2 linked regions of the Macaca fascicularis genome follow. The protein of the gene in region 1 purifies or fractionates together with the protein of each later gene. This does not show direct contact. Links are inferred from orthologs where the notes say so. Each region holds a gene or a part of one and is shown on either strand. Other genes may lie near its edges.

Evidence for each region.
Region 2: the proteins of CHAF1B (region 1) and CBX1 purify together in Homo sapiens (affinity purification with mass spectrometry; 4 studies listed by BioGRID and IntAct, with this or other methods). This does not show direct contact. The link is inferred for Macaca fascicularis from reciprocal best matches to the Homo sapiens genes CHAF1B and CBX1.

What each region holds. Positions count from the first base shown.
Region 1 is NC_088377.1:10,583,239-10,587,718, reverse strand, and holds the start of CHAF1B (chromatin assembly factor 1 subunit B), read left to right. Parts: upstream 1-1,519; 5' UTR 1,520-1,579; intron 1,580-2,184; 5' UTR 2,185-2,258; coding exon 2,259-2,384; intron 2,385-3,700; coding exon 3,701-3,833; intron 3,834-4,480. UniProt on the Homo sapiens protein: Acts as a component of the histone chaperone complex chromatin assembly factor 1 (CAF-1), which assembles histone octamers onto DNA during replication and repair.
Region 2 is NC_088390.1:58,653,284-58,657,092, forward strand, and holds part of CBX1 (chromobox protein homolog 1), read left to right. Parts: intron 1-2,883; coding exon 2,884-3,060; intron 3,061-3,742; coding exon 3,743-3,809. UniProt on the Homo sapiens protein: Component of heterochromatin. Recognizes and binds histone H3 tails methylated at 'Lys-9', leading to epigenetic repression. Interaction with lamin B receptor (LBR) can contribute to the association of the heterochromatin with the inner nuclear membrane.

The sequences.
Region 1 (4,480 bases):
TACAGGCGCTCGCCACCTCGCCCGGCTAATTTTCTTGTATTTTTAGTAGAGACGGGGTTTCACCGTGTTAGCCAGGATGGTCTCGATCTCCTGACCTCGTGATCCGCCCGTCTCGGCCTCCCAAAGTGCTGGGATTACAGGCTTGTGCCACCGCGCCCGGCCTCTTTCTTTTTTTTTTTGAGAAAATATTTGAGATAGCCCAGGGCCTCTCTCTGGAGCCGCATCCCCTGCCCGTGTTGGCTTATCAAGTTGGCACTGAAGTTGGATCTCTAAAATGTTCACCAAGAAAGCCAACTCCTTCGTGTACTTTCAGTACTTAAAGCATGTGTTTTTATCTTTTAAATCCACGTTCAGCGTCGTGACACTTCAAGAGGTGGGCAGATTATTTGTTTGTGAATGAACAGCATTTATGAGAAATTTGGAGAAATTTGATGTTGAAGAGACACGAAGAATCCCGAGCTTTCCAAAACAGACTGAATGAAAATGCAAGCTCCTGGAGCAGGGGCCTCTGCTGGATGTTCGGAATCATGGGGCTGGTGGGGCCAGGAGTCTGTACTTTCATAACAGCCAAATTATCTAAAGTATATAGTCATTCCCAGTCCAAACTCTGTATGGAGAGAAAAAAATCTAAAAATGGCATATTCGGATTATGTTATTCTAGCTTCCCGTAGAAATCAGGCTTCAAGGAGCATACAGCATTCTTATCAACATGAGACACTGATTTTTAGGCAATATCTGTACCTTTCATAAAGCTGGCTAAAAGCATCTGCCAGTATTTATATAAGAATCCATGTCTGTTCTTTTTTTCCAAAAATCCTAGAGCAGTTGGTTCCTCAGATAAACCTGTGTGTTTCTTTTATCCAGTAAAAGCAGCGCATCCAGAGGTACTTGTTTCCTGGCCTTCTGCGAAGCCCACAGATAAATTAGGTCTCATCTGGAAACGTCCCATTTCAAAAGGCCTGCGGTATCTGTGCCTACCGATCAATTCACCGCCTCACTTTAAAATGTGAGTCTGTTCTTAGAAAGGATTTATAACTGCGTCTACTATAATAATAAAATGTAAGCAACCTTGCGCTAGGTACTGAAGAATTTCATAGCTTTGAACTCTCCAAAATGTTCTAGAAGCCAATATAGAAACCCAGAGATCTCAGTTTTTGTTTGCAGAAGGGACAGGAGAACCGGTCGTGTTCGCCCTCCCAAGTGCACAGCGCCAGCATAGGGTCTAACACACAGCCCAGGCTCTGTAAACGTTTGCTAAAAGAACGAATCAACAAGGAATAAATAATGGATAATAATAATAAATAATAGTGAATTCATTCTTCCTGCAGTCGTGGGTCTGGCGGGAATAAATTCCGGCCCGGATTCCGACCCCAGGGCCAGACCGGGACTCGCCTCGGCGCCTAGGAGGGGGCGGGGCTTCCCTGGGGTGCCGCCCACGTCGGGCGGGACCTGAGAGGCGCTTGAGGGGCGGGGCGTCCATGAGGTCCCACCCATGCGGGGGGCGGGGCCTGCGGCGCGCGGGAAGCGGCGCGCGCTGCGCGGGAGGTGACGGCGCCTCTGACCGTCCGGGTTCCTGCAGGTACGGCTTCCCGGGGCTGGCCCGGGCGGCTCCGCGGCTCTTTTGGTCAGGTCGATCTGGGGCCAGAGGCCCTCGCCCAGGGCCTGGGGCCCGGGATAGCTCCGGACGGCGCGCGTTCGGGCGGCGGGGCCCCGTCCACCCCCGGCCCCGCGCGGCCTCCTCCCGGCGGCCTCTGTCCCAGCTTCCCGGGCCCAGCGCCCGGACCCTGGGAAAGGCGGGGTTCTGCTCTCGCCCCGCCGCCCCGGTCCCCTACCCCGTTTGCCCCCCTCTTCCGGGAGGCCCCTCCCGGGGCGGGCCCCTACCTGGGCTCTCAGGGCGCGCCCCTAGACCCTACTAAGCGGGGACAGGCCGTGCAGATGGCCGGGGCCCCTAGGTAGCCTCTACCTGGATGTTTGGTTTTGCTTTTCTGGACGTAGCGGCGTATCATAAACTTGTGGATGTCAGGACCCAGCGAAGCATTTTAGGTGGAGCTAGCAAGGTGTTCTTGTCAGATGGCAACGTTAACATCCTTTCCCAATGCAGTGTGCATTTTAAATGGCTCCTGCCCTATTCAGCGCTCAGTAACCCTTCGCTGCTGCTAACACTGTTGTTTAATCCATCACCAGCATTTTGCAGCTTTCCTCCGTCTTGAAGTAGAACGGTGCCCGAGAAACGTTTTGCCCCTTCAAGACTCGGGAGGATGAAAGTCATCACTTGTGAAATAGCCTGGCACAACAAGGAGCCCGTGTACAGCCTGGACTTCCAGCATGGGGCGGCCGGGAGGATCCACAGACTAGCGTCTGCGGGCGTGGACACCGCTGTCAGGGTAAACTGGGGCAGAGATAGCCATCTGGGAACACTGCTTGAAGCAATAGTTTTCATTCTTTTATTTAAAACCAATGTCGGCTGGGCGCGGTGGCTCACGCCTGCAATCCCAGTGCTTTGGGAGGCTGAGGTAAGAGGATCACTTAAGTCCAGGAGTTCGAGACCAGCCTGGGCAACATAGCCAGAAATGAAAAAGTAGCAGGACGTGGTGGTGTGCAGCTGTAGGCCCAGCTACTTGGGAGGTTGAGGTGAGAGGATCGCTTGAGCCTTGGAGTTTGAAGCGAGCAACCATCACTCCACTGCACTCTAGCCTGGGTGACACAGCCAGACCCTTCTCTTAAGTAAATGAATGAATGAATTGAACATATGTCAACAAATTCAAACTACTCTGTCATCTAGCCCAGAATGCTAAATTTCCAGGGCCTGCGGTGAACAATGAAAGCAAAAGAGAGCTGCTTTTTTTTTTTTTTTTTTTTTTTTTGAGATGGAGTCTCGCTCTGTTGCCCAGGCGGGAGTGCAGTGGTGCAATCTCGACTTACTGCAACCTCTGCCTCCCAGGTTCAAGCTATTCTCTTGCCTCAGCCTCCCAAGTAACTGGGACTACAGCCACTCATTACCACACCCGGCTAATTTTTGTATAAAGTAGAGATGGGGTTTCACCATGTTGGCCAGGCTGGGCTCGAACTCCTGACCTCAGGTAATCCACCCACCTTGGCCTCCCAAAGTGCTGGGATTACAGGCCTGAGCCACCATGCCCTGGCTCTGCTTTCTTATTTGATTCATTTTCCCTAGATTATTGTAACTGGACGTTCATTGTTTTGGGATTCTGATCCTGGTTCCTATTGGGTAACAAGTTGCTCTAGAAAGAAGGCGGAGGGGAACAGTAGACATTTATGTTTTAGATGGGGATTTCTTTCTGAAAATAAGCATAGTTTTTTTTTTTTTTTTTTTTTTTTTTGAGACAGGGTCTTACTGTGTCGCCCAGGCTGGAATGCAGTGGCCTGATCTCGGCTCACTGCAGCCCTGACCTCCAGGGCTCAAGTGATCCTCCCACCTCAGCCTCCCGGGTAACTGGAACTACAGGCATGTGTCATCACACTTGGCTAATTTTTAAAATTTTCTGTAGAGACCAGGTCTCACTATGTTTCCAGGCTGGTCTTGAACTCCTGGCCTCAAGTGATTTACCCACCTTGGCCTCCTAAACTGCTAGGATTACAGTTGTGAGCCACCGCACCCAGCCCATAGTATTGTTTTAATACAAACAGTATAATATGTGCCCATTCTATGTTTTTCAAATGAATGTTTTGGTATTGACAGATCTGGAAGGTAGAAAAGGGACCAGATGGAAAAGCCATCGTGGAATTTTTGTCCAATCTTGCTCGTCATACCAAAGCTGTCAATGTCGTGCGTTTTTCTCCAACTGGGGAAATTTTAGCATCGGGAGGAGATGGTGAGTATTGCTGTTCTTCAGAGATTCTTTAGGCACCAGATAGATACCTGTGTGTCTCGTGTCAGATAGTGAGATTTGAGCTGAATATGCTTTTTTAGGAGGGGTGGGATAGAGTGTTGCTCTTATTCCCCAGGCTGGAGTGCAGTGGTGCAATCTCGACTCACTGCAACCTCCGCCTCCCGGGTTCGGGCGATTCTCCTGCCTCAGCCTCCCAAGTGGCTGGGATTATAGGCACCTGCCACCACGCCCGGCTAATTTTTTTTTTTTTTTTTTTTTGTATTTTTAGTAGAGATGGGGTTTCATCATGTTGGCCAGGCTGATCTCGAACTCCTGACCTCAGGTGATCCACCTGCCTCGGCCTCCCAAATTGCTGGGATTACAGGCATGAGCCACCGGGCCTGGCCTGGATATGCTTTTTATTTCAGATATGGCCGACCTTCTCAATCTGTCATTTAGGTAGTTCAGTAAAATAATGTTCTAGGGAGTGCGGTAGAATCGGAGAGGGAGGACAGCAAGATGACACTGGGAGCACCTGTTTGAAAACAGCTGCTTTCCTGCTAGCTCCCACTGGGCTCTTCCGAGACAAGATGGAGAGGCACTTACCTTTCCATCACATCCCAAGTAAGGCGGCTGTTCTGGTTTTGTTT
Region 2 (3,809 bases), on another chromosome or scaffold:
CAAAGTGCTGGGATTACAGGTGTGAACCACCACACCCGGCCTTGTAGATGGACTCTTTCTACATGCAGTCTGTCTGTACATGCCAGTTTTACAGTATTTAGAAAACTCAAGCAGAGAAGTAACTCTTTCTTCCTTGTCTTGGATTACCTGCCATCCAAGTAATTCTTTGGCCAGTTTTGTTGATCAATTTTGTTTCATTGATATAGCGCCATCTACTGACAGAAATTGGTAATCTTTAAGTCTTGAAGTCTGTGAGAAGTCAGAGTTGGGTCCAGTAGCGCATGCCTGTTAATTCCAGTATTTTGGGAAACCGAAGCAGGCAGGTCATTTGAGGTCAGGAGTTGGAGACCAGCCTGGCCAACATGCTGAAACCCCATCTCTACTAAATATACAAAAATCAACCGGGCCTGGTGGTGGGCACCTGTAGTCCCAGCTACTCAGGAGACTGAGGCATGAGAATCGCTTGAACCCTAGAGGCGTAGGTGAGCCGAGATAGCACCATTACACTGCAGCCTGGGTGACAGAGGGAGACTCTGTCCCCCTCCCTCAAAAAAGTGAAATTTGGATGAAGGACTAAATAGATTTGTAAGATTTATAAGATGAAGGACTAAAATTTCAACACTGGAAAAACTCTTAGATGTTACCCAGCTTGATGATGTATTTTATAAAGGAGTAAACTCAGATTCTATTATCTTTGATAACTACAATTCTGTTTTCCCCACACTTGTTTTCCAGATTATTACAGGGTTCCAGTTTAGAATTGCATGGTCATTCTGGCATTTTTGTGACTCTTCCTTAGTTTTTAGAAATAAATTGGAGGCCAGGTGTGATGATTCATGCCTGTAATCCCAGTACTTGAGGCTGAGGCGGGAGGATCACTTGAGCCTAGAAGTTTGAAACAAGCCTAGGCAACATAGTGAGAGCTTGTCTTTACTGAAAATTTAAAAAGTTAGCCAGGCATGGTGGCATACACCTGTGGTTCCAGCTACTCAGGAGACTGAGGTAGGAGGATCACTTGAGCCCAGGAGGTCAAAGCTGCAGTGAGCCATAATTACTTCACTGCATTCCAACCTAGGTGATAGAGACACTGTCTCAAAAAAGAAGAAAAGTTGTTAAATAAACTAAATACAATAAGTTAACAAGAAATTTGTGAATTGTAAGTTCAATTCAGAAAAGAGTGCATAAAGAACAAGAGAACTCAGCTGGGCACAGTGGCTCATGCCTGTAATCCCAGCACTTTGGGATTCTGTGATGGGTGGATCACTTGAAGTCAGGAGTTTGAGACCAGCCTGGCCAACATGGCAAAACCCTGTCTCTACTAAAAATACAAAAACTAGCTGGGCATGGTGGCACACACCTGTAGTCCCAGCTACTCAGAAGGCTGAGGCAGAAGAATCACTTGAACCCGGGTGGCGGAGGTTGCAGTGAGCCAAGACTGTGCCACTGCACTCCAGCCTGGCTGGAGTGAGACTCCGTCTCAAAAAAAGGGGGGTGGGGTGGGGCGGGGCTTGGTGGCTCATGCCTGTAATCCCAGCACTTTGGGAGGCCACCATGGGCGAATCACGAAGTCAGGAGTTCAAGACCAGCCTGGCAGCCTGACCAACGTGGTGAAACCCTGTCTTTACTAAAAATACAAAAATTAGCTGGGCATGGTGGCTCACACCTGTAGTCCCAGCTACTCATGAGGCTGAGGCAGGAGAATCACTTGAACCCAGGAGGCGGAGGTTGCAGTGAGCCGAGATTGTGCCATTGCACTCCAGCCTGGGCTGGCGTGAGACTCCGTCTTAAAAGAAAAAAAAAAAAAAAAAAAGGCCGGGCAGGGTCATTCACGCCTCTAATCCCAGCACTTTGGAAGGCCAGGGCAGGCGAATCACGAGGTCAGGAGTCTCACTCTGTTGCCCAGGCTGGAGTACAGTCATGCGATCCTGGCTCATGACTGGCTAATTTTTGTATTTTTAGTAGGGACAGGGTCTTGCCATGTTGGCCAGGCTGGTCTTGAACCCCTGACCTCAGGCTATCTGCCCGCCTCCGCCTCCCAAAGTGCTAGAATTACAGGTGTGAGCCGCTGCGCCCGGCCTTCTTTGAGTTTAATGCAATATTTTAGCTACCATGCTCTTTTACAGATTTTTTGTGTGTGTGGAGATGGGGTCTTGCTATGTTGCCTAGGCTGGTCACACACTCCTGGGCTCCAGGAATTCTCCCACTTCGGCCTTCCAAAATGCTGGGATTGCAGATGTGAGCCTGCACGCGTGGCCCTAGCTACCATGCTTTATGGTAAAAGGAGTATTGGGAGCCTTTTTAAATGACAAATAATGGGTATAAAAGTTGTAAATGGATACACAAGAATAAAGAAGTTTGCTGTGAAGGCCAGGCGCAGTGGCTCACACCTGTAATTCCAACACTTTGGGAGGCCGAAGCAGGCGGATCACCTGAGATCAGGAGTTTGAGACCAGCCTGGCCAACATGTAGTGAAGTCCCGTCTCTACTAAAAAAAAACAAATACAAAAATTAGCTGGGCTTGGTGGCACATGCCTGCAGTCCCAGCTGCTTGGGAAGCTGAGGCAGGAGAATCACTTGAACCCAGAAGGCAGAGGTTGCGGTGAGCCGAGATTGTGCCACTGCACTCCAGCCTGTGCAACAAAGCAAGACTCCGTCTCTCAAAAAAAAGTTTCGCTGTAAGATTAATTGGGGCTTTTTTATGAGCTTTCTGACTGCACATATCAGAAAACTATTGTGTATCGAATGTGAGAATAGGCCTCACACTTATTGTAAGCAGCATATAATATTATCACCTGTCATGTCTCTGGTTTTCTTACCATCCAGATATTATCTAACCAATAAGAGTGCTCCCTAATTCCCTTTTTATTTCATTTATCATTTCAGCAGCGTCACCCTTTACACCAGAAAGCTGGCGGGCACTATGGGGAAAAAACAAAACAAGAAGAAAGTGGAGGAGGTGCTAGAAGAGGAGGAAGAGGAATATGTGGTGGAAAAAGTTCTCGACCGTCGAGTGGTAAAGGGCAAAGTGGAGTACCTCCTAAAGTGGAAGGGGTTCTCAGAGTAAGTTTCACTGACACAAGTAAATGTAGCCACCAGGTGTTTATCAGGAGTCTAGAGATGTATGAGACCTCCAGTGCTGTGATGGAAACTGTGTGACTCAGTCCCCACCTTCATGGCTTATTGTTTAATTAGGAACATGGCCTACTGCTTGTAATACAGAGCAGAATGACTTCTTTTTTAAAGTTCTTTCTTTTGAGACAAGGTCTCGCTCTGTCACCCAGGCTGGAGTACAGTGGTGCAGTCATAGCTCGCTGCAGCCTCAACCTCCCAGGCTCAAGGTATCCTCCCACCTCAGCCTCCTAAGTAGCTAGTACCACAGGCATGCACCACCATGTCTCACTTAGTTGCCCAGGTTTGTCTAACTCCTGGCCTCAAGCAGTCCTCCCACCTGGGCCTCCCAAAGTGTTGGGACTACAGGCGTGAGCCACTGTACCCAGCCCATAGTGATTTCTGAGAAATATTGTGTGTGGCTATAGACCGATTTAAATTGACAAATAAAAGTCATTTGCCTTTGAAGGAAGCCAGTTTCTTAGCTTTCTATTTATACTAAAAAGCCTCCCCATTCCCCAAGAAATTTCAGCTTTTCCATGGACGTCTGAGCTCTTGTCCTCTTACGATTATCCTTAGTATGATTATACTTATTTTGAGTGAAAGTGTGACTTGCTGTGCCCTCTGGTTTCAGTGAGGACAACACATGGGAGCCAGAAGAAAACCTGGATTGCCCCGACCTCATTGCTGAGTTTCTGCAG